Linked DNA regions of Canis lupus familiaris. The protein of the gene in region 5 interacts with the protein of the main gene of each other region in a pairwise test. Links are inferred from orthologs where the notes say so. Each region holds a gene or a part of one and is shown on either strand. Other genes may lie near its edges. The genes, in order: MFAP1, SYT17, IQCN, KIFC3, MID2, DCX and FARS2.

Region 1 (3,500 bases), on a different chromosome or scaffold from region 5:
CAGGTGCTCTAAGACTAAGGAAATGTGGGTAATGCTCTTTCACTTTTGTGACATTGGTGTTATACTTGAAGATGCTGTTTTTCAGATTGGCTCGACATCGGAAAATAGTAGAACCTGAAGTGGTAGGTGAAAGTGACTCAGAAGTAGAAGGAGATGCATGGCGCATGGAACGAGAGGATAGCAGTGAAGAAGAAGAGGAAGAAATTGATGATGAGGTATAAAAAGGGAAAATGAGAAGTTCTTTCTGGGTCCGAGAAAAATTGGGGCCTGTTCTCCTTTGTTGAGTTTCCAAAGGCACAAATTTGATACTTTGGCAGAACCCTGATCCAGTGGTTCCCCGTTTGTTGGAGATAGAATTAAAAATAAAATGATGCTAAGTTGTATTTAGTTATAACAGAATTTATTAAATGTGCTGAGGGGAAAATAAAAAGCTGCCTTAGAGCACAGGTCATTGGGCTGACTGACTTGGACATATGACTTGACAGGAAATAGAGAGGCGCCGTGGCATGATGCGTCAGCGAGCACAGGAGAGAAAAAATGAAGAGATGGAAGTCATGGAGGTGGAAGATGAGGGACGTTCTGGGGAGGAGTCAGAATCAGAATCTGAGTATGAAGAGTACACAGACAGTGAAGATGAGATGGAGCCTCGCCTAAAACCTGTCTTCATTCGAAAGTAAGTATGTCATAAACCAGGCCTGATTCCACATAGTTACTACTTTCCATGTCTGAAGATGGAAGCCTTTTTTTCCTCTCTCAGGCTTTTCTGAAATGTCAGCTGTAAGTGAAAGTCTTCTGCCCAGTTCCCTATCTATGCAGAATATTTGCTGAGGAATATCTTGGTATTAACAGAGAACCTGAGTTACGTGCTCATAACTCCCTTTTTAAAGAGCATATAATCTCCCCACAGTCCTGTAAGGCACAAAATTAAACTTGAAAAGTGAATTCCTGGTCCTTTTCTAATGGCAAGAAATCTTACAATTTATAATCCAGAAGGTTCTTGCTATTCAGGCAGTTATCAAAGATGAATGGAATTTTAATGCTTTAAATACCTAGGATGACTCCCAACTTTGGCTGTTTGCAAATAATAGAGCCAGCGATTATTGGGCTTTGTCTCATTTGGATGGGACTTAAGCTAGAGACAAAGAGGTCCACTCTGAGGACTTTGGGCAATTAACAGGACTTCTCTGTTGCAGGAAGGACCGAGTAACAGTTCAAGAACGGGAGGCTGAAGCATTAAAACAGAAGGAGCTGGAGCAGGAAGCAAAACGCATGGCTGAGGAGAGGCGCAAGTACACACTCAAGGTACTGGGGAGTGGCTGTAAGGATTGCATGCAAGGAGGAGTATACTTAGGTTTGTCAGGAAAATAAGGAGATCCAACAGTTAAATGTTCTCTTTACCCAGATTGTAGAAGAGGAGACCAAAAAAGAGCTGGAGGAGAACAAGCGGTCCTTGGCTGCACTGGATGCTCTCAATACTGATGATGAAAATGATGAGGAAGAATATGAGGCATGGAAAGTTCGGGAGCTAAAGAGAATCAAGAGAGACCGAGAAGATCGAGAAGCGTAAGTAATAAGATGGGCCTGTAGTTTAATATCAATAATGGGACAGGTTACTACTAGGGTAACTCTGAGGCTCAATACCTACCATGAGTTAGTTCCATTCTAGCTTTCTTTAGGGTTCCTGCAACTGAGTGAGTTTCTCATAATTGTAATGTGGCTTATTCTAATAAAATTAGTGAAAAGAAACACTCTGTCAGTGTTTCTCTTGATAGAGTGCCAGTGAATACTTCCTGTAGTTTCCTAGTAGGCACACACAAGTTATTCACTGTTATTAATTATCCAATCTTGCATAAAAACCCAACCCAAAATTTGGTGACTTGAAACTGTTGATTATTCCTCACAGTTTTGGAGTTCGCTAAGCAGTTCCTCTGCTGGTTTCACCTGGGCTCTCTTAATGCACTTGGATCCAGCTGGAGAATTAACTGGGCTAGAGTGTCCAAAACGGTTTCATTCACATGTCCAATAGTTAATGCTAACCTGCCTCACTTCTTCAGTGGGCTAGATCGGCTTCCTTATAAAACAGCCTCATGGCAGTATTCGAAGAGGACAAAAGTGGAAACTGCCAAGGTCTTTTGAGGCTTATATGTCATTTCTGCAAAGGGGCATGCATATTGTGAGGGGAAGAATTTGTGGCCTTTAAATACTCTACCACAGTCAGTATTGTTAGATCAGAATCATTTCTGAGCTGCATCACTCATTCTTAAAAATTACTAGGAATGAGAGGGTAATCCCAGATTACAAAAGGAAACCATGAATAGAAAACTCTGTCCTCAGCCTGCAGTTTCTAAGATTTTTATCCTGGGTTTCAAGGAGTGCATGTACCCTTTAAAATCATATACAAAGTTATGTCTATTTGTATTTTTCTGGAGACAAGGGATATATGGCTCCCCTCCCCCCAAAAAGGGTTAGTCACTGCAATCTAATTAATGATGGTAACCCTTGGTTTGTCATGTATGTACATACACAATTACTTAAAAAAATGCCAATTAAATCTTAACACAGTTATGTTAAATTCTGGGTTTTTTTAAAGCCAAGTAGGCTTTTTAGGGAAGGGAAATTACTAACATTGCAAAGTCAAGTAGTAATATTATGTCCGAACCTTATAAAGACTATTGGAAGTTTACAATAAGACCATTTCACCTTTTTATTTGTTGGGCTCCTAATCTTAACTCCTAATAGGCAATGACTAGAATTAAGGAAGGTGAATAATGCTTGAAAGATGAGACTGCATTAAGTTCAGATAATTGAGTCTCTCTGAAACTGGAATAATACTAATAGTTTTGTTCTCCACACAGGCTTGAGAAGGAGAAGGCAGAAATTGAACGAATGCGAAACCTGACTGAGGAAGAGAGGCGAGCTGAGCTTCGGGCAAATGGCAAAGTCATTACCAACAAAGCTGTTAAGGGCAAATATAAGTTCTTACAGAAGTATTATCACCGGGGTGCCTTCTTCATGGTAAGGAGTCAAAAGGGAATGGGAAGTTTGGGCTATAGAAATAATTTGGAACTTTTGAGTTCTTTTCTCCCCCCAAGAATAAACTGTCCTGGGATGTTACTTCTACTTGCCAATGGTCAGTGTTCTCATTTATTTTTGCCTCTAAAGAATATAAATCCAATAGAAAAAAGCATTGACAACACGATTTTAGAAGTAGCAGCCACTGTTCTCCATTCAGGCCCAGATATCAGGAGGAAATGGTGTGTAATAGAAGAATTGAGGAACTAAAATAGTGATCTATGTATATAGATATAGACTACTTAAATCCCCAAAATTAATTAGATAATCACTATTCATAGCTGAGTGAGGAATTTTGCTTATGCAAATATTTGGGAGGTTGAAATTTAATTCCCTTCAATCTGAGCTGACAAAGTGACTAACCAAAAAAAAAAAAAGAAAAGAAAAAGTTTATTATCTAGCCAGTATGTGTAATACCATCAAGATTT
Region 2 (3,500 bases), on a different chromosome or scaffold from region 5:
TACAGACGGTCCCGAAGTTCTGCTCGGGCTTGGTCCTGGCCTTTCTTTCTCCTTCCCAGTCTTTCCGTGAGGGTGTGGGGGCCCACCTGACGAGCATGCTAGGGCCAGAATGGCAACCTGAAAAACCACTACTGATGTTCCCTCCTTCCCTGTGTCCTCCTTACCCCTCATTCCTGTTCCCCGGGATAGCCTCCTAAAGAATCTACCTGCACCCAGGTCCTGGCCTTTGGCCTCAGATTTCAGGAGAATCAAACTACAGCAGATGTGCCAGAAAAATCTTCGCTGAAGTTGTGACATTTCAGCCAATACCTAAAGGAGGCAAGGTGTGTTGATGTCCAAATTCTCTGATGTGCGCAGTCAAGCTGGCGATACAGAGTCGATCTTGTCCGGTGGGTCTCCCTCTTTCAACCCTCTTGATGGTCGAAAACCCAGTGATATCAAATATTGAAGAGGCTACATGGAAAGCGCCCAATCTATTCTGATCATGTGATGGGAAGGAGGATACGGGATTATAGCAAACACAGCTAACACTTTGACCATCACCTCCTGGTCCTGATCACTTCAGTGTACACAGGTCTGCATGTAGCTGCCAGCTCTTGCACTTTTTTTTGCATCTGTGGATGTCAAAGGTCTCTTTATCAACCAGTATTAACAGGCCAGAAATGCCAGGGAAGGAACGTCTCCATACCCCTGCCAACAGCCTTCATTCAGTGGCTGATAGGAGTTGGTATATGCACACCCCAACTCCCCCATCACTCAGGTGAAAAGACTCTAGACATGTGTCTAATCCTGGCTTCCCATTTCCCCAGCAGGTTTAGGGCCTGATCTCCCCAAAGTGGTGGCCAGCTGGATAATGCATACTTTATGTCAATTTCCCACCCTCATCCTGGTGTTTCCTCTGCTGTCACCTCCCTAATAAATGACTTCCCTTGGCTCAGGATTCTCTTCTTCCTAGGGGGATCCAAATGAAGAGAAGGATAAATCTATCTTTGAATGGAAACACACACACACACACACACACAACACAAGCAACCCCTCCAGTCCCCATGTTTAAAACCTAATACTCCAGGTGTGATGCTGGATCATCAAATCCCTGACCAGTAGAGTTCAGCTTTGAAAAGCACCTTGGCATGTTTGACATAAAATAATCCCGCCTGCATTACACAGGATTGTCACCGTCAGCCTGAATGGACTAGACTGGCCTCCAGCTGGCTGGGTCTTTTCCTTCCCTTGGGCTCCTACCTCGTCCTTCTCTGCACAGTTCGTGCATTGTCATCCACAGAATGCCCAAGGGAGGGACTCTATCAGCCCACTGGGGACAGAGCCTGGTCCGTGGGTGGCTTCCCAAGCAGCCAATTGCAAGTCTGTGGGCTGGTAGGGGGAAAGAAGCCAATCTCACAATTTGCCTGAAAAACATCCATATATCATCCTGTTCTGCAGCCCTCATTTTATTTTTCCCAAATCAATTTCTGAAAGTCAAAATAACTGATAGCTTCATACCCTGGACAATCATTCTCCTTATTAAATAACCCGGCATCAATGACAAAAAAGCTCCCAGGGTGGTGGTGGTTACACGAATCTATACATGTGACAAAATGTCCTAGAACTACAAACACACACACACACACACACACACACGCACGCACACACACAATGGTGCATGTAAAAATCTGTGAAAATTCTATAAGGTCCGAAGCTCCATTGCCAACGCCAATTTGCTGGTATTGCTAAGGCACTCTGCTTGTGTAAGATTTCTCACTGGGGTTGCTAGATGAAGAGAACACAACCACTCTATATTACATCAGCAACTTCTTGGAAGTAGAAAATTATTTCAAAATGAAAAGTTGTTAAAATACAAAGACGATTTCAATAATAAAATAAAAATAATCATCTTTTTTTTTTGCAAAGATCCCAGCAGGAGACACCACCAAACCACCCCTTACCTGAGAGCTGGGGACCAGCGCCTTCCACCAATGCCCGCCTTTCACCAGGTCAACCTCGCACAAAGGCACGGACACCTTCCCAATGACACAATGGCGGGAAAACTTATCAAAATCCACCACAGTTAGCAGCAGGGTCCTCCTCTGAGCTTCGAGGAAGGGGATCTCGAAGGTGTAACGCTCCTCAAACACAGGCTTCTGGGTCTTGCGTTTGACCCCCGTCTGCTTAGAGTTCTTCTGGTCTGGCAGGAGACAGATCTTGACATAGGGGTTCGAGTGAGCCATGTCCTGGCGCGATCCGTCATGGGAGATGGGCGGTGGCAGGTCCCTGGCCTCGATCACCCGTACCGTCAGGTGGTTGTGCAGCAGGTCATATTGGGTGCTGAAGTGCAGCATGCCCAGCTGGTACTTGGACAAGATCTCCTCGTCTGTTAGGAAGTCCACATCGTCGCTGTTGGAGTCAAGGGAGTACAGCTGGGGCTCGAACTTTCTGAAGTAGTCGTCTGGGGTATAGGTCCGTCTGAGCACCGAGGGCTGGATGGGCTCCTTTTTGGCACTGAGAACGCCAAACTCGATGGGTTTAATATCAATAAGTGGGGAGCTGGGTCGTCTGGATTCGAGACCTAAACAGTCACCAGAAATAATAATTAAGACCGCCATGTATGGGACCGAACCTGGGCCACTTTGTGAAATTAGCACCATTTCTCAGATTCTCACATTGTTCACTCTGTTTCATGATGCTCTGTGCCATCTGCTCTCCACACCCTGAGAGCCTCTTATTTATTCTATGAGAGGTAGCTTGGTGGCATTATCACCTCTGTCACAGCCAGGCACTGTTCTAAATGCATTGACATATCAAGTCATCTTCACAAGGTTTTAGATAACGACTATCCCTATTTGACAGATGAGGAAACAGAAACCTTAAATAATTCTCCAAAAGTGACCCAAGTAGTGAGAGGAAGAACCAGGAGTCAAGCCCAGCCTGTCTGGCTCCAAAGTCTTGATGCTAACCATTACCCTATACTGCCTCCATTTTCAGAGAGTGGACCCTGAGGCCAGAATTTCTGGGACTCAGTTTCCCTATCTGTAAAATGGAGTCAGTAATAGCCCCTACTTCAAAGACTGTGGTGATTCACAGAGCCAATGCATGGAAAGGGCTCGGCATAGAACGTGCACATGGTAAGAGGTCACTAAATGGTAACTATTATACTTTGTCAACGATCATATTTGAACTTCACCACTTGTGGGGCACCTCACCCTTCTCCATCAACCAGCAGAGTTCATGGCTCCCAAGTCCACCATTTGAATCTTTGCTCATTCCTCTATTCTAGCAGTGAGCTCATGGAATTTTTTTTTTTAAACTATTTAACTGAAGAAAAAAAACTATTTAACTGAGGCACAAATGGCATACAAAAGGCTGTGCATGAGTTTGGAGGTAAGTATGTATCCATGAAACCACCACCACACTCTGTGCTATCAACATATCCATTATCTCCAAAAGTTTTCTACTGCCTTATTTATTTAATTTTTCTGGTGATAAAAATCTTTATATAAGGTCAA
Region 3 (4,108 bases), on a different chromosome or scaffold from region 5:
CAACAATGCACATTCTCAGCTGAAAGCCCAATCACCTTCTTGCTTTTTGAACTTCCTTTATATCTGGAACATACTGTGAATATAGCTCTGATCGCACTATTTGGGAAATTTCCTCTGTGTGTGTGTGTGTGTGTGTGTGTGTGTGTGTGTGTGTTATTTGCCTCTCCCTGTTTACTGTGAATTCATAGAGGGTAGGAACCAGGTCTGAGTCATTTCTGTGTCCTCATCTCAGTCAAAGGGCCTGGGTTCCAGACTGTGGACAGGTGAGTGTTGGGTGGGTGGCTATATTCATAAATGAATGATGGAGGGGATTGGAATTTGGGTAGATAGATACTGAATGGATATATCTGGATAAATGAATGGTGGATGGGTTAGAAAGATGGATAAAGGGTTGTGTGGAAGAATAAATAGGTAAATGAAGTAGACGAATGAATTGATGAATAGATCAATAAATAAGGAAATGGACACATGGATGGATGGACAGATGGGTAGGTGGATGGATGGATGGATGGATGGATGGATGGATGGATGGATGGATGAGTGGGTAAATGGATGAATGAGTGGATGGATGAATAAGCAGGAGGGGAAAGAAGGGTGGAATGGATGGATGGACAGACCAGTGAGTAGAGGATGGACGAGACCTGAGTAGATAAATGAGTGTGTGGATGGAGAGAGCTGAAGGAATTGGTGAAGAGATCAATGAATAAGAGGTGAACTGATGAATGGCTGGATGGATCAGTGCATGGATGGTGAATGATTAACAGGTAATGGGTAGATCACTGGCAGATGGGTGGGTAGAAGAATGAGGGGATCACTATGGCTTCCAAAAGCACCTTGGCTCAGAGGGAATTGGGGTGGATACTGCCAAGCATCCTTGATATGTCACCTGAAGCATAACATGTTTGTTGGGCAGAAACCCACCCCCAACTTTTGGCTGAAACAGCCGATTCCCCTTTCCCAGCCATCTTCATACCTTGGAAGGCCATAGAGTTGGAGGAGGAACAGGAGGAGAAGGTGCAATCTCAGAAGCCAGCTTGTAAGAGGAAGCAGCCTTCATTCAGCCTTTCATCCCATGCAACGTACAGCAACACTGCCCTGGGCTGGCTCTGTTTTCAAGCCCAATGTGAGGAGACATATTAAAAGAAAAACAAAAATAAAAAACCCTAACATTTCAAAAAAAAGCCAAAAACTTTTAAGTCCACAAAAATGAATGCAAAAGGAATTTTACACTAGTGTTCTTTTATACGTAAAAGCGGATCAACTAGAAATAACCAACAAGGTGATTGCTAGGGAGTCAGTTACAAGTGCATAAAGGAGAGTGTTCAAGGATGTTCATCACTGTATTATTTATGAAGAGTAAAAACTAAAAATAACTTAGGAGGTGGCTTAAATTAAACAGGACATTCATACAGTTGTATGCTATCCGGCCATTAGAAATGGTGTCCAGATCCACAAAAATGGCTAAAATTGAAAGGGTGGACACATCATGACCAACTGGGGAAACTGTCAGTCTTGAAGGTAACTTGTCAATTCCACCCTAACATTTACATTTAAGAGGTACAAGTGTTCATACTCACCCCAAACCAGAAACCATCTAAAAATGCCCATTAACAGAAGACTTAAATTCAACCATATTAGTAATTGACATGATAAGAGATTAAAAACTTCAAGACAAAGATGATCAAAATAGATTTGTTTTAAAAGACCCCTGTGCTGCCTCCTTTCATGGTGAACATTCTAGCTTCACTTATTTGATGGCCTGAGTGTCCTGCCCCTTCCCAGTCTTCATCCCAGCCGCAAATGGGCTGGGCCCATTCAGAACAAGCATCAGTGTAATGGGCCTGAGACTGGTTCTCCAGGAGGCGGGCACAGTCATCGTCTCCACTTCACAGAGGAGGAGCCTGAGGCCCAGGGAAGCCAACATACTATATTTCATACTTCTTTACTTTATTTCTGATTTGCCTCCCCCATTGAACTATGAGCTGCCCATGGGTAGGGATGTCTGTCTCTTTTATTTGCTGTTGAATCCCCAATGCCTAGAACAGTGTACACAAGAGGTGCTCAATATGTTTATGGATAGATACATGGATGGATAGATGGATAGATGGATGGTTGAAAGAGGATGGATGGATGGATAGATGGATGGATGGACAGATGGATGAGAACCACTCAAGCTAAGTTCTGAAGAATTTAGGGAGAACAGCTTTAGGATCTGAACTGACCTATCCTAGAGTCTGCGGTTTCACCAGCCACATGGTTTAGTCCTCTCAGTGAACTCAACCAGAATGAGTGAACAAATAGACAACAAAGTGAGAGGAATGTGATTACAGGGGACAGGAAAAAGGATTAGGGGCCCCCAGACATGTAAGCCGAATGGCTGGCTTGGCGATTTTGAGTAAACCCCTCTGAGTCTCAGTTTCCTTATACAAGCTAAAACCACTTTCCCAGCCTCCCAGGGAAACATGGTAGGCTCTCCAGGCTAGGACCTCAGGCAGACAAACCCACCATCAGTTTTTACGGGGGTCCCAAGTGCCCCTGTTTTGAGGGGCTGAGAAGCTGACCCACTTTTTAAAGTGGCCTGGAGGGCCCAAGGGGACTCTGAGGATGCTGGGGGGCAGGGGAGAACAACCCAGCCTCCGTGTACCCCCCACCAAACCCTCCACCAGCCCCACTCACCTGCCCCTGAAGCTGAACCCACCAGCCCGAATGGCCAGCCTTGGGGCCCTGGTGCCACAATGGCTTTGTGACTCACGGCCAAGTTCCAGCCAATCCCCACCAGCTCCTGGGGGAAGAGAGTTCTAGAAGGCCGACCCAGGGATGCCTGGGTGGCTCAGTGGTTGAGCGTCTGCCTTCGGCTCAGGTCATGATCCTGGGGTCCTGGGATTTAGTCCCCCATCAGTCTCCCTGCAGGGAGCCTGCTTCTCCCTCTGCCTATGTGTCTGCCTCTCTCTGTGTCTCTCATGGATAAATAAATAAAATCTTAAAAAAAAAAAAATAGAAGGCAGACCCAGTGTTGGGGGCAAGACCTAGATCAGACTAAGGGTCTTGGTGGTTGCTACATACTGCCTGCCTGTCCTGAATAGAAAACTAGGGCTCTGAGCAGAGGGGGCCTCAAATTCTTCCCCTACATGTCTCAAGGCAAACTCAGTCTCACATACCTTGGGCATTTGTTGAACACCTAACTTTTTGTTTTTGTTTTTAAGATTTTATTTTTAAGGGCGCCTGGGTGGCTCAGTCGATTCAGCGTCTGCTTTCAGCTCAGGTCATTATCCCAGGGTCCTGGATCAAGTTCCCCATCAGGCTCCCTGCTCCACAGAGAGCCTGCCTCTCCCCCTCTGCCTCTGCCTCTGCCTCCGTCTCCTCCCTCTCTCTCTCTCATGAATAAATAAAATCTTTAAAAAATATATTTTAAGTAATCTCTACACCCAACAACCCCGAGATCCAGTCACATGCTCCACCAAGTGAGCCCTCCAGGTGCCTCTGAGGAACACCTAACTTTGCCTAGCGACACGGCTCAAATAATTTGGGGGTGTGAAACTGCTAGGAAGGAATCAAAGAGGGGGTGGATGGGCTGAGTCCTGCAGGAGGCGCAGGAGGCGAAGGAGTAATCTTAGGAGAGCTGGGGGAAGGGCACCACATGGCCCAAGGTGGGAACAGGATGGGCATGATTAGGGAACACGGGGGCTGAGGTGGTTGGAGGCAGGAGAAGAGGGCCAGGAGGTGGAATACTGAATTGGGAGGAACTCAGGAGTATGAGAGTTTGGGTTTTATCAGGAAGGCTCCGGGGAGCCTCGAGAGGGTCTAGAGCAAAGGAGGCACAGCTCTTATACTCTGGTTCACATCCTAAAAGGCCAGGTGGGTATCTGTGTCTGGCTCTGAGGATGGGCCATCCTTAGAACAGAGCTGGGCCCAAGGTCCCTTGGGATCCCCATATGGGCCTGGCAAAAGTGGGTATTGACTCTGAGCCACAGTCCTAAAGGCGAAAGTGAGGCCACCGTCCCCATCCACCTCCTGGGGCTGGGCTGATGCCTGGGCTGAATCACTGCTGGCCAGGCTGGGGCTGACACACACCTTGGCCTCAGCTCAGCAGGGTCCTGCCAAAGCCACA
Region 4 (3,500 bases), on a different chromosome or scaffold from region 5:
CATGTGCCCGCTCCAGCTCTGACTCGTACATGGCGATCTGACGGCCAAGGCCAGAAGCTCAACGTGGGGCTCAGGAGGGAGTGGGGTGGGTGCCAGAAAGAAGCCCTATGCCTTACCCCACACATGTACAGGAGCAAACAGCATCCACCTCCACATGCACACATACAGTCTCACACACACACACACACACACACACACACACAGGAGAGGCCATCTCACTCCTGGAAAGTTCTGTGAGCTCCATGCAGCTACTTTGTTGCATTAGCCCCAGCACCAGCCTGGGTCCTGACACATAACACATACACAAGCCACAGGCCCCAGCAGAGCATATTATGTCATAATAGTGACCAAGGCCCCTTTCCAAGAGCCTGTGTGCCCGGCCTGCAGGCAAGGACTCTTGGCAACTATTCTGAGTTCCACAGGGAGGTAGCTTCTATGAGCACATCATTTTATGGACGAGGAAACAGAGGCGTAGATAAAACTTGGCGCTGGTCACACAGCCAACAGGGAGAGCAGGGTGGGGGGGCTGGAACCCAGCTCCATGGGCCCCCCAGTACTGAACCGCCGCGCTGTGCTGCAGGCCCACCTCTGGCTTTCCCACCGCGTGTGCATGCTCTCCCACAGCCCCGTGCGTGTGCCCTGGCAGCCTGCGCACCTGCGCCCGGAGCTGCGCCGTCAGCTGGTGAGAGCTCTGCAGCTGCTGCTCCATCTCCTTCAGCACCTGCCTCTGCATGGCCACCTGCTCCTGCAGGTGCTGGTTCCGGGCCTGGGACTCGCTGAGGGCCTGCTTGGTCTTGGATGACTCCACCTCCACGGTCTTGATGACGTACTGTGAGGGGGAGGAGGGATGGGCGCCTGAAGGTGCAGGTGCCTCGACCTCACCCCCGGGGGGGCCCTGAGACGCAGCTGGCCTTGGGAGAGGACCCTCAGGGACATCCCACCAAAAGCCCCCAGAAAAAACTAGAGGAACTTCAAGGTCCTGGCTTTACAGGATGCTGCAGGGCCTCCGGGCATCCTCTCATCTCAGTAAGCCCAAGAGCCTGGCTGTGACCCCAGCCTGGGCACAGAACAGACAGGAAGGGCAAAGACGACAGCAGAATCTTGCCATGTACCACAGGCATGCCTGGCACGTGTGGGCGCCTTGAGCCTCGGCTGCCAGATGCCTACTACATGTCTGGCCCTGGACAGCAAGAGGGGGAAGGGGTAAGACTGGGGTGCAGCCAAGAAAGCAAGGACATTGCACGTGGCCACCAGCGCCAGAGGCTCACCTTGATGGGTGGCGACTGGGCCCGCAGGCTGGCGATGGTCTCGTGGCTGTCTCGCAGGCGCCGGCTCAGCCGCTCCTCTTCCTGTGCCTTCTCGGCCAGGCAGTCCTTGAGCCGCAGCTCGACCTCGGCCAGCCGGTCGGTCTTCTGCTGCACCTCCAGGTTCAGCTCCGACAGCATGCCCTTGTTCTCCGCCACCTCCAGCTGTAGCTGTGACAGCTTGTCCCGGAGCTGGGCACTCTCCTGCAGACAGGTGGTTGGGAGCGGGGTGGGGACAAGTGTGTAACAGATGGGGGGGGGTACCAGCATGCAGGGCTCCCTGCAAGGAGAGGAGCCGGGGTCACCGTTAGGGACCGAGCCCTCTGGGAGCAGGTGGCTCTGTGCTCACCTGGCTGTGTTCGCAGCCCGCGCAGGGGGCCACCGGCTTTGCCCGTAGCTCTTGTAACTCGGCCTCGAAGCGCCGCATCTCCTGCCTCAGCCGCTCATTCTCCACTACCAGGAGATCCCGGTGCTTCTCCAGGTCCGTGCCTCCCTGCACGGAGCCAGAGCACAGGGCATGCATGTGGCAAGGCCAGGCCCCGGGAGCAGAGAGCAGGGAGGCCGAGGGGGCACCAGCGCAGAGGAGAGAGAAGCAGGAGAGGGAGGGGAGACAGCTCAAGGGGGACATAAGGAGAAGACAGAGGAAGGAAGGGGAGCCGGGGGGATGGCCTTACCCGCCCCTCTCATGCTATTTTCCCGAGTGTGAAAGTAACAAGAAAGTCATATTTATACACAGAGTTCACACTCCTGTTTTACATCGGCAGATGAGAATTAACCTCCCTCCCTTTGGGGGTCACACGACCTCTGAAGGCCTAGTGAGTGGTGACAAGTATTTGGGGAGCATCTCTCAGGCCCAATGGCATCTGCTGGGCTGGACTCGAGGGCTCTGGAGGGATGGGGTCCCACACCTCAAATGGAAGGGTCAGTCTGCACAAGGCCAGGCCAGCCCCCCTGCAGCCCCCACCTTAGGATGGCAGTGTGGAGCCTCACCAGCTCTGATCGAAGGCGGCTCACTTCCTGGGCCTGGCTAATGAGCTTCTCCTTCAGGTTTTCCACCTGCCAGCACAAAGCCACAGTCACGGTGAGCCTTGTTCCTCACTTCTGGCCCACGCTCAGGCCTCATTTCTCAGCCCCGCATGCTCCCTCAGTTCAAGCATCAGGGCACACCCAGGACTCTGGGTGAGAGACACCTGCCCTGTCCCAACGGCCTTCAGCACCCTCTCCTACCACAAGACCCAGGTAGTCCCGCTCTCAGCAAAGTCTGGGGAGCAAGCACAGCAGAGGTGACCTCTATACCACTCTGTGCCCACACCAGAGGCAGCTCCCTGGCAGACTCAGGAGGCTGACCTTCAGGACCCCCACCTTGCACAGTCCCTTGCCACAGCCTGTGTCTACATACTTGTAATTTTATATTCCCTTTTCATAAAAGGGCTCCCAAATTGTATAAACTCCAGACACAATGAAACCTGATTGGTCCTTGCCCAGAACCTAGATTTTTCCATTCCAGTGGTGCCTGGCAAGTCTGCCTATAGAGACAGGTCTACCAGCAACCAGGGCATGTCTTGGACCTGTGTCCCCCCACCCCCCAGGTCCCTGTCTGCCTTGCTGGACAGCTGGGACCATCAGAGAAGGGTGTGTGCACCCCATCAGGAAGCAAGGGTGGCTTGGCTCAGCCAGAGCCAGAGGAAGCCACCAGGATGCCAGTTCTGAGAGTGTACATCCCAGGGTAACAACCCTCCCCTAGAGTTGTCCTCCAGCTGGCCACCCTCCCTGCAGACTCCAGACCCCAATTCTGCACCAGCCCCCCTCCAGGAACCTCTTGGGAAATAACCCAAAATGCAACCGAAGACTTTGGCACCAATGTCATCAGTGCATATTTAGGGGTTTTGTCACAGAACATTCTGTGATGACCGTACCTGACTGTACATCACCTTGAGAAAGCCCAGTGAGAGTCAGACTCTCTCTGTGGGGACCTAGGAGGTGGGTTTGACCCAAGCAGGCCACGAAGCATTGGGTCTTATTAGGAAGCAACAGCAACAAAGTCTGCTGCCTGCAGAGGCCAGACCAGTAGGAAGGCAGGTGAGGGGCAGCACAGGACTGGATGCCCAGCGTCCACCCTGAGAAGACAAGCTCAGCGCCCTCCCTGCAGGCCGTGGCTGGGAGCACACAGGCCCATGTCTCCAGACTTCTGTCCTT
Region 5 (2,735 bases):
AAGCTGGGAAAGCAAACAGGAACCTGAAAAGCCCAACCCTAAGTAAATGGGACCTTCTACTGAATGTTAGGGGAGCCACTGAGAGATTTTATGAAGGGGGAAATCATTTATTTTGTTTAAAATCTCCCCCAAGGAGAGACCAGAGTAACTCAGAAATGAAAGGCATACATTTAAAGCACCACAACAGTGTATTGGGGCTGGAGCTGGGAGGAGGAGGTTAATATTTGTTGTGCACTTTGCTACATGCCAGGTGTTGTGCTAGGCAGTTTATATGTGCTATCTTTTGAAATCTTTGCAACAGCCTTGTGAGGTAGGTATTATTTTACAGAAGAGGAAACAGAGGCTCAGAGAAGTGAAGTGCTTATATCCTAGGTCACACCGCTCGTAAATGGCATTAGAACTAGGATTGTTTTAGTCCAAAGGCTATGTATAAGCTTTCCACAGCAGTAAGCTATTTCCTAGCACTGCTGGATCTGATTGAAGTTGCTCATTTCCTAATTAGCAGAAATTACATCTGGGCTTTTTAACCAAAAAGCCAACTTTGCTGCTAGAATACGTAAGTTTGAGTCTGCCATCTGAATGGGCATCAGTCCTGCTTTCCATGTTAGGTGAATAAACAATACAAAGCTGTTATTTAGGGGATTTATATAGATACTTTGTCTCTCCTACACAATAGTAAGGCATTTGACAGCAAGGGACTGTGTTTTATCAATACATCAGCAGCAGAGTGGTACCCGGCATCTAGTAGTTTGTTGAACGAACGAACGAACGAACGAATGAATGAATATCCACCAAGGTGGTTGAAAGGAAGAGAGGAGACGTTTTAGCATTGTTTCAAGACTCTAGTCTGTGGCTTGTTACAGCTACCACTTTGTACAAAAGTAGTATTTTCGCATCTCCCAAGACGTAGACTCCTTGAAGCAGACTTATCTGCTGGGAAGGAGAAAACTCTGATTCTGACATCCCCAGTCTCTGCAGTGAAACTGACAAAAGCAGAGACCATAAAACTTGATGCCCTTCAACAATAGTGATGAAGATTGGGATGAAAGTTACATTTGCATTTGCCAGGAAGGGTTGGCTAAAGCAGAGGAATAGTGTAAACAAGGTCTCATAGGAAACAATCCTTTAACCTGTTGAAAACAGACGGTTCTCAGGCATTCTCAAGCACTTCAGAAGTGTTTTATCTGAAAATACAAGTACATTTATATGCAAATGGTTGTTGCATCTAAAACACTCCATTCTTACTGATTAAGTAAATAAAGTTCCTAAAGAACGTCCATTGTGCAACTCTTGTTTTAGCCTAATTCTAGTAACTGTATGTACTTGAGAGTAATAAAACTATTTCTTTGAGACATTCTGTGATGGAATTTTTAACAATTCAGATGAACCTCCTGCATTAGGTAGCCTCAGTGAAACCGTGCTACATATAATGCTTCTACTTGGATCAATTTTCTGCCCAGCATAGCATCTCTTGGGCAATCTTGTCCCTCAAACTCTCTTAAACCAATTTAGAGCTCTTCCCACCATCAATGTCATTATTGCACGTGAATGTCTGTGTGACAGGAGAGAGAATGGGAGGAATGAATGGAGGGAGGAAGGAAATATTGCCTGATCTTGATGTTCCCTTTAGGGGACAAAAATGGATGCTATAATTTAGTTTCCCTTCCACTATATTTCTTACTCAAATGAGCAAATCAAAAAATTTACTATGTATATATAATTATAAAATGAATATATAACATATTATTTATTCATTTTATATATATATATTATATATACACATACATGTTTTTCGCTATAATAAATCCTTGATTGTAGGCTTTTATCAAAAACTACATATAATGTGTGATCCTTCCACACTTCAAATCCTACTTAGCCAAACTAGAAAGGCCAACATGTGCCCATGCACACCCTTCTGGCTGGCTAGCCCCTTGTTCAGAGCATCTTTCTACATTATCTACTTAGAATTATCCTAATTCCTTCCAAAATAATTTATACTCCCAGATTACTGGGAATTGTTAATTCTCCAGTGATAAGAGGGGTATTCCCTAGATTTCCCCTCCAATGGCTTGAACTCAGACTACTCAGACAATTCGTTCTGAGAAACTCAATACCTTAATTCAAATATAGGCTTTAATGCACAAAAATTAAATCTGTAATATCTAGTTATTTTGGATGCTTCAAATGAACTTCATTTTGTATCTTGTATATTGGACACTAACTGAGGTTTAGGAAGGAAGGAAGTGCTGAACTAGAGAGCCAGTGAATTATATGCTCTCTTGAAACTTAATGGCAAGCTTTCATCCCAGAAACATAAGGGGATTCTTGAGGCCTGCAGTTGCATTCCTGCCGCTCAGGGTAATCAATAAAATCTGGGGCAGGCAAGCCAGACAGGATCATGAGGGATTTGTTCCAGATTGTGAATGTTGGACAAACTGGAAGAATGAAGGTCACATCAAAAGTATGAAGATGGAGAGAGTTAGCTGGGTCATAGAACGACAGCATGTTGTTGTCATAATCCAGAAGGACACCCAGACGCTTCAACTGTGGGGGCACATCCACCAACATTTCCTTGTTGTTATGTCTCACTACAAAGTTACTATTGCATCGAGAGAAGACCCATGAGGAGGCATTCTTGCCAATCCATTCGTTCTTGGGAGCAGACTTGTAGGCAATACCAATTGCATACCTGTGAGCCCATGGAAAGGAGAGAGAAATGAACATTTATTAATGAT
Region 6 (3,500 bases), about 3.1 Mb from region 5:
TGGAACAGAATAGAGAAGCCAGAAGCAGACCCTCAACTTTATGGTCAACTAATATTCGATAAAGGAGGAAAGACTATCCACTGGAAGAAAGACAGCCTCTTCAATAAATGGTGCTGGGAAAATTGGACATCCACATGCAGAAGAATGAAACTAGACCACTCCCTTACACCATACACAAAGATAAACTCAAAATGGATGAAAGATCTAAATGTGAGACAAGATTCCATCAAAATCCTAGAGGAGAACACAGGCAACACCCTTTTTGAACTTGGCCACAGTAACTTCTTGCAACATACATCCACGAAGGCAAAAGAAACAAAAGCAAAAATGAACTATTGGGACTTCATCAAGATAAGAAGCTTTTGCACAGCAAAGGATACAGTCAACAAAACTCAAAGACAACCTACAGAATGGGAGAAGATATTTGCAAATGATGTATCAGATAAAGGACTAGTTTCCAAGATCTATAAAGAACTTCTTAAACTCAACACCAAAGAAACAAACAATCCAATCATGAAATGGGCAAAAGACATGAAGAGAAATCTCACAGAGGAAGACATAGACATGGCCAACATGCACATGAGAAAATGCTCTGCATCACTTGCCATCAGGGAAATACAACTCAAAACCACAATGAGATACCACGTCACACCAGTGAGAATGGGGAAAATTAACAAGGCAGGAAACCACAAATGTTGGAGAGGATGCAGAGCAAAGGGAACCCTCTTACATTGTTGGTGGGAATGTGAACTGGTGCAGCCACTCTGGAAAACTGTGTGGAGGTTCCTCAAAGAGTTAAAAATAGACCTGCCCTACGACCCAGCAATTGCACTTCTGGGGATTTACCCCAAAGATACAGATGCAATGAAACACCGGGACACCTGCACCCCGATGTTTATAGCAGCAATGTCCACAATAGCCAAACTGTGGAAGGAGCCTCGGTGTCCATCGAAAGATGAATGGATAAAGAAGATGTGGTTTATGTATACAATGGAATATTACTCAGCCATTAGAAACGACAAATACCCACCATTTGCTTCAACGTGGATGGAACTGGAGGGTATTATGCTGAGTGAAGTAAGTCAATCGGAGAAGGACAAACATTATATGCTCTCATTCATTTGGGGAATATAAATATTAGTGAAAGGGAATATAAGGGAAGGGAGAAGAAACGTGTAGGAAATATCAGAAAGGGAGACAGAACATAAAGACTCCTAACTCTGGGAAACGAACTAGTGGTGGTGGAAGGGGAGGAGGGCGGGGGGTGGGGGTGAATGGGTGACGGGCACTGAGGGGGGCACTTGATGGGATGAGCACTGGGTGTTATTCTGTATGTTGGCAAATTGAACACCATTAAAAAATAAATTTATTATTTTTAAAAAATAAAGAAAACAAAAGAGCAATCCCAGCATACCGAAATGTAGTATATCTCCACAAAATGTTGGAAACTCATGCTAAGAATGATGGAGGGAAAGTGGAATTAAAAGAGCTATCATTTACTGATATACATGTAAATTACCAGGCAATTTACATATTTTGTCTCATCTAATGATGAATTGTATGCATACATATTTACATCTTATGTTCTAATTTAGAGTGCTTTCATATCCATTATTTCTTTTGATCTTCAGGAGAATCCTGTGAGCATGGGTAGGGCAGGTGTGATCAGCCCCTTTGTATGAAGAAGCAGGAGGCTTTGGATAATTAAGTGATTAGCCCAAGGTCACACAGTAAGTTGCAATATTAAGACTAGAAACCAGGTCTTCTGATTCCCAGTCTTATGCCCTTGATTCATATTTGTCATGCATTACTTCAAGAGGCTGAATGAATTAGGGAAGGGAACTTACGCCCAAAATAAGGAAAATCTTTCTAAAACTCACAGCTTTTCAACAGTGTAATAGGCTGTCTCATAACACTGAAATGGTTGTAGAGTATATCACTGCCATAAGTGGGAGATTAAATGTCATGACTTCTCAGGTCACTGTCAATGCTCCTAAAATTCCTAGGTTCTGTTTTTCTGAGCTGAAAGTTCCAGTGATTAAGACTATTCCTGGGAAGCGCCTGTTTCTTATGTACTTGGTTCTCAGGAAAGAGATACTCTTTGAGAGATGCTTGGGAGTTGTGACTTTTCCCATTGCAAGTAAACTCCATGCTTTGGTACAACCAACACACATCATGTATAACCAATGCCTCCAGGTGACACTCACATCACAAAATGAAGAACAGATAAAAGTCCCAAATTTAGAAAAGTTCCCACATCCATGAGTTTAGGTTTTACCAGAAATTTAAATTCTTGAGGCACACGGTATATGTCAGAAATTATGGGAGGAGGCATAGTTCTGCATTTGAATGCTCATCAGTCACTTCTTTAGAATCTATATAGTTGTTCAAACACCAAAGGTATTTTAAGGAGTAGAAAGTATGGACTGATAATAACTCACAGTTGTCTTTGCTGATGGGGGACCAGAATTCCCTTTAGAGCCAACAGAACCAGCCACTGTTCAAATCCTTTGGAAGTATTTTGTCATACATTTACAGCTCCCTATGCTCAAGAGAATGGTGCATCTGTCTGATGGAGATGCCTGGCTGCATTCTTTCCCAGATATTAATATAGGTGGTACTTAAGTAGCATAACCAATGACATGAAGAACCTGATTTGGAGAGGAACAGATGGCAGCATCTTTCTTGGGCTAATTTTAGGATCTTGAAATAGTCCCTTTCTCACACAAAACCATCAGTGGAACCAAATTCAGACAGCTATGTCACATGGAAAAGAGAGAAAGAGAAAACGTGGTCTAGTGCGAGGCAAAGACAACGAACCAGAGACATTAGTGCTTCCCCTGTATCTGAGTCCTCTCAGAATATGAGGGATTACCTCAACCTCTTTTCACCAGAATGGACACTGAACACCAACATCAGGCCACCTAAGAAAGGAGCCCACAAATCTCACTTCGAGTGACATGCACTGAACAATCAAGGTTGCATCACTTCATAGATGAATTCATATTCACGAGAATGTGTAAAACCTAGGTACTCAGTCCTTTACTTAGCAGATAAGAAAGCTGAGGCTAAGTGACCATTCTCCTTGATAAGACATAAGCAGATTGAATTTCAAAGCCTCAGATTTCTGGTGGATTGTTTTGTCTGCTGAAAAGACCTTTCTTCCCAGTGAGACATAAAATAACAGGTAGGGATGATGAGAGGTAGAGGAAGAGTCCCCCAACTGGAAATGATGCCTCAGGGACAGCATGGGCATCCAGGTATTTAGAATAACTGAAAAGACAGGTACTTTTATTAAAACAACAAAAAAACTACTTACCTGTTTTCCATCCAGAGTGTAGAGTTTTTTGACAACCCCAGTCTCCAGCTTGATGGCTTCAGTGATATCGGTGAGGACTTGCTCAAAAGAGTGAGCCGTCTTCTTGTTCAGCAGCACACGTACGGCCTTCCGAGGCTTCACCCCACTGCGGATGATCGTCACTAGCTTGGGGCGCACAAAG
Region 7 (3,930 bases), on a different chromosome or scaffold from region 5:
CTTCACAAATAAGTGGGAATCCAACGAAATTAAACTTCAAATACATCTGAAATTTACCCATGTTATCCAAGAAAAATTAAAACACCTCAAACTCCTGAAGCTTCCACTGAAGACTGTCTGTAAAGCAGTGTAGCATCACAGCTAGACAGATCATATCCTGGGCCAATGCCTACCCTCCCCGCTTCCTAGCTGCTTACCTCCAGCTCAGTAATCTAACTTCTCAGCTTCCCTATCTTTAAATGCAATTAACAGCTTTCTTTCCCATCAAGGTTCCAAAGGATTAACTGAGATCCTACAAGGACTCAGCTGGCTTCAGCCCTTTCCGGGTACTTCTCTTGCACTCACCGTCAAGCACTCTCCTACTCCCTCCCTCATAAGGCTTCAGAGTTCTGTAGACCAGGATCATCTTTCCCTAGCCCTCACTCAGACTCTTTCCTTTACCCTTTGTAAGGGTAAACCTACATTCTTCATAACCATCTTACTAATACATCCACATATCCAAATCCCGGAATTCTTTTCAAGATTTAGCTAACCTGAGGATCCCTGGGCGGCTCAGCAGTTGGGCTCCTGCCTTCCGCCCAGGGCATGATCCTGGAGACCTGGGATCAAGTCCCGCACCGGGCTCCCTGCATGGAGCCTGCTTCTCCCTCTGCCTGTGCCTCTCTCTCTCTCTCTCTTTCTCATGAATAAATAAATAAAATATTTAGAAAAAAAAAAGATTTAGCTAACCTAAATTCTCTCAAGCAACATGAATACCACCTCCTCCAAAAGGCCCCCTAATTCCTACAGATCAATGCTTCTCTACCAGACTGCAACCAATCACCTGGGGAATTTTTTTAAAAATCCCTGAAACTTAGTCAAAATCACATTGACTGTCCATCTGAGGGGTGGCCCAGGCCCCAACCATGAAAGTGACCTCTCACGCTGAGACCCCCATAGCACTTCCCCAGTACTCCACCTGAAGCACTCTGTACTTTTAAGATTTTATGTATTTATTCATGAGAGACATGGGGGTGGGGGAGACACAGACACAGGCAGAGGGAGAAGCAGGCTCCCCGCAGGGAGTCCAATGCTGGACTCGATCCCAGGACCCCGGGGTCATGCCCTGGACGCTCAACCGCTGAGCAACCCAGGGGTCCCCAGCTTTCTCTATGTGTAACTTGGACGAATGGTGTCCTTTTCCCAGGTGCCGCCTTTTACGTCATTAGCACTCACATAGCACGGAAAGAAAAAAAAAAAGCTCTAGATCTTACTCCGTAAAAACGTGCAATTCCTTTCTTGAACGTTTAAGCAATGCCCAGGACAAACTCAAACTATTAAAATCTCTTCGAATAATCCTGAGGGAAGACTCGCCCAATGACGTGATCAACCTGCAAGAGCGACAGAAGTTTGGGTATCCTATTTAAAAAAAAAAAAAAAAAGCCTTATTTTGATGTTCATAGAAATGAGAGGCCTTAAAAAAAAATCAAATAGGAGGTTTAAAAAGATTTTAATGAAAGTATGTTTGGGGGAAGCCTGGGTGGCTCAGCAGTTGAGCACCTCCCTTCGGCCCAGGGCGTGACCCCGGGTGTCCTGGGATGGAGTCCCACGTGGGGCTCCCTGCAGGGAGCCTGCTTTTCCCTGTGTGTGTCTCTTGTGAATAAATAAATAAAATCTTTAAAAAAAAAAAAAAAAGTATGTTTGGGGCACCTGGGTGGCTCAGTGGTTGAACATCTGCCTTCGGCCCAGGTTGTGACCCCAGGGTCCCGGGATCGAGTCCCACATCGGGCTCCCTGCGAGGAGCCTGCTTCTCCCTCTGCATGGGTCTCTGCCTCTCTCTCTCTGTGTCTCTCATGAATAAATAAATAAAATCTTTAAAAAAAAAAAGTATGTTTGGGGGACACCTGGGTGGCTCAGCAGTTGAGCGCCTCCCTTGGGCCCAGGTCATGACCCCGGGGTCCCGGGATCCAGTCCCGCATTGGGCTCCCTGCATGGAGCCTGCTTCTCCCTCTCGAGTGTGTCTCTCATGAATAAAATAAATAAAATCTTTAAAATGATAATGATAAAAAAAAAGTATGTTCTCTTCCATGCCTTTTATATTTTTTCTTTTCAAACGCCATTGCATCCCAAGGAGTAACATTACCAAGTGCCATCTGGGTGCACGCAGGGACACCAGGTTGCAAGTACGCTGACGGGCGCTTCCTGCCCCTTAAAGTCCCGGAAAATACCAAGTTCTTGGTGAAATGCAAAAGCCACGTTAACAATCATCCGGTCGGCGGGGCAGCCCGGGGGGCTCAGCGGTTAGCGCCGCCTGCAGCCCAGGGCGTGACCCCAGGGTCCCGGGATCCAGTCCCGCGTCGGGCTCCCTGCGTGGAGCCTGCTTCTCCCTCTGCCTGCGCCTCTGTGTCTCTCATGAATAAATAAGTGAATCTTTAAAAAAAAAATCATCAGGTCGGCTAAATGCACGGAAGCGGCCCCGGCGCCCCAGGTCTCCGCGGGCGCAGCAGCCCGGCCCCGGCCCCGAAGGACCCAGGACCCTGCAAAGCTCGAGAGCTCAGAGCACAGGCGGGGAAGGGGAGCCCCGAGCCAGCGCCCCCGACCGCGGCCGCGACCAGGCCAGCACTCGCCCACCGCCCGCAGGAGACCCAGGCACCCCCAGGCACCCCCAGGCACCCCGCGCTGCGCGCTGCTCACCCCCCCGGGAGGCTCCAAGCCGCCGCCGCACTCGCAGCCTCAGCGAGACCCCCGCAGCTCGCTGGGCGCCGCCATCTTGGCAAGAGAGGGGTCCTTGCTCTCAAGCCCCCAAGCCGGTCGCCCCGAGCGGAGCCGTACAGCAGGGAGTCCCTCGCCCCCACCGCCTCGGCGGCCCCCGCGTCGCGACCCCGCACCCCGGAAGCGCCCTTGCGCTGGGGACCCACAGACACAGCGCGGGAAAGTCAAGGCGCCCCGGAAGCCCGGCTCGGGCCCTCAGGCAGCGCGGAGGGCAGCCCCAGCGCGAGGGGGCGGGTCCTCCGCGGCCGGGGGCGGGGCGTCGAGCGGCGGCGCGCTCGGTAACCATGGCAACGCGGCGGCGGGCAGCTCTCGGGCGGCGGGCTCTGGGCGCTCGAGGCGTCCTCGGGCTCGGCCCCGTCCCGGCGGCTTCCCCTCTGCCCGCCTCGGCCCGCGGGGGGGGGGAGGGGGGAGCGGCCGCGCCCGGGGCCCGCCTCCCGGCCGGCGCCTCCCCCTCGGGCTGCCCCGAGCCCGCCTGCGCCCGCCTGCGCCTGCCTGCCGAGCTCCCGGCCCGCTGGCCGCCCCGGCCCGGCTCCGCCGCGCGGTTCACGCGTCCGCGGCTTTGCCGAGCGGGTTGGGTGACGTCGGGGCCTTCCCGAAGACGCCCCGCTTCGCGGGTTTGTTTGTTTGTTTCCCCCTTTCCAAAATGGCAGCCTCCAGCCGCGCACAAGTGTTAGATCTGTACCGGGCGATGCTGAGAGAGAGCAAGCATTTCAGCGCCTACAACTACAGGTGACGCGGCGGGCGGCGGGCGGCGGGCGGCGGGGCCGGGGGCGGCTTGTGTCTGTCCCGCGGCGGCGGCTTCGGGCCCGGGTGCGGAGCCTCCGCCGCCCACCTGCCTCCCAGGCCGGCCAGCGCGGTCCCGGCGCCTCGGGGGGAGCGAGGGGCGGAGAGGACACGTGCAGGGGAGCAGGGGGGCCTCGGACACCTGGGGGCGGGGGGGAACCTCTGATACCTGGGGCGGAGCAGGGGGGCCTCGGATACCTGGGGACGGGGGGCAGGGGGGCCTCGGACACCTGGGGGCGGGGGGCAGGGGGGCCTCGGATACCTGGGGGGGAGCAGGGGGGCCTCGGACACCTGGGGGGGAGCAGGGGGGCCTCGGACACCTGGGGGCGGGGGGCAGGGGGGCCTCGGACACCTGGGGGCGGGGGGGAACCTCTGATACCTGGGGCGGAGCAGGGG

The links.
Region 1: the proteins of MID2 (region 5) and MFAP1 interact in binary tests that used the Homo sapiens proteins (3 or more experiments, as listed by UniProt). The two-hybrid records come from large-scale screens. The link is inferred for Canis lupus familiaris from reciprocal best matches to the Homo sapiens genes MID2 and MFAP1.
Region 2: the proteins of MID2 (region 5) and SYT17 interact in binary tests that used the Homo sapiens proteins (3 or more experiments, as listed by UniProt). The two-hybrid records come from large-scale screens. The link is inferred for Canis lupus familiaris from reciprocal best matches to the Homo sapiens genes MID2 and SYT17.
Region 3: the proteins of MID2 (region 5) and IQCN interact in binary tests that used the Homo sapiens proteins (3 or more experiments, as listed by UniProt). The two-hybrid records come from large-scale screens. The link is inferred for Canis lupus familiaris from reciprocal best matches to the Homo sapiens genes MID2 and IQCN.
Region 4: the proteins of MID2 (region 5) and KIFC3 interact in binary tests that used the Homo sapiens proteins (3 or more experiments, as listed by UniProt). The two-hybrid records come from large-scale screens. The link is inferred for Canis lupus familiaris from reciprocal best matches to the Homo sapiens genes MID2 and KIFC3.
Region 6: the proteins of MID2 (region 5) and DCX interact in binary tests that used the Homo sapiens proteins (3 or more experiments, as listed by UniProt). The two-hybrid records come from large-scale screens. The link is inferred for Canis lupus familiaris from reciprocal best matches to the Homo sapiens genes MID2 and DCX.
Region 7: the proteins of MID2 (region 5) and FARS2 interact in binary tests that used the Homo sapiens proteins (3 or more experiments, as listed by UniProt). The two-hybrid records come from large-scale screens. The link is inferred for Canis lupus familiaris from reciprocal best matches to the Homo sapiens genes MID2 and FARS2.

Annotation. Positions count from the first base shown.
Region 1 is NC_049251.1:10,836,831-10,840,330, reverse strand, and holds part of MFAP1 (microfibrillar-associated protein 1), read left to right. Parts: intron 1-85; coding exon 86-215; intron 216-485; coding exon 486-673; intron 674-1,193; coding exon 1,194-1,302; intron 1,303-1,402; coding exon 1,403-1,563; intron 1,564-2,855; coding exon 2,856-3,015; intron 3,016-3,500. UniProt on the Homo sapiens protein: Involved in pre-mRNA splicing as a component of the spliceosome.
Region 2 is NC_049227.1:26,253,006-26,256,505, reverse strand, and holds part of SYT17 (synaptotagmin-17), read right to left. Parts: intron 2,564-3,500; coding exon 1,944-2,563; intron 1-1,943. UniProt on the Homo sapiens protein: Plays a role in dendrite formation by melanocytes.
Region 3 is NC_049241.1:45,151,459-45,155,566, reverse strand, and holds the start of IQCN (IQ domain-containing protein N), read right to left. Parts: upstream 2,801-4,108; 5' UTR 2,677-2,800; intron 1,107-2,676; 5' UTR 1,058-1,106; coding exon 974-1,057; intron 1-973. UniProt on the Homo sapiens protein: Essential for spermiogenesis and fertilization. May be required for manchette assembly in elongating spermatids.
Region 4 is NC_049223.1:57,991,420-57,994,919, reverse strand, and holds part of KIFC3 (kinesin-like protein KIFC3), read right to left. Parts: exon of another isoform or gene 3,233-3,500; coding exon of another isoform or gene 3,221-3,232; intron 2,361-3,220; coding exon 2,295-2,360; intron 1,798-2,294; coding exon 1,654-1,797; intron 1,509-1,653; coding exon 1,269-1,508; intron 830-1,268; coding exon 656-829; intron 38-655; coding exon 1-37. UniProt on the Homo sapiens protein: Minus-end microtubule-dependent motor protein. Involved in apically targeted transport. Required for zonula adherens maintenance.
Region 5 is NC_049260.1:82,076,228-82,078,962, reverse strand, and holds part of MID2 (probable E3 ubiquitin-protein ligase MID2), read right to left. Parts: intron 2,690-2,735; coding exon 2,287-2,689; 3' UTR 1-2,286. UniProt on the Homo sapiens protein: E3 ubiquitin ligase that plays a role in microtubule stabilization. Mediates the 'Lys-48'-linked polyubiquitination of LRRK2 to drive its localization to microtubules and its proteasomal degradation in neurons.
Region 6 is NC_049260.1:85,154,160-85,157,659, forward strand, and holds part of DCX (neuronal migration protein doublecortin), read right to left. Parts: coding exon 3,320-3,500; intron 1-3,319. UniProt on the Homo sapiens protein: Microtubule-associated protein required for initial steps of neuronal dispersion and cortex lamination during cerebral cortex development. May act by competing with the putative neuronal protein kinase DCLK1 in binding to a target protein.
Region 7 is NC_049256.1:6,682,059-6,685,988, reverse strand, and holds the start of FARS2 (phenylalanine--tRNA ligase, mitochondrial), read right to left. Parts: upstream 2,801-3,930; 5' UTR 2,674-2,800; intron 2,340-2,673; exon of another isoform or gene 2,123-2,339; intron 1-2,122. UniProt on the Homo sapiens protein: Is responsible for the charging of tRNA(Phe) with phenylalanine in mitochondrial translation.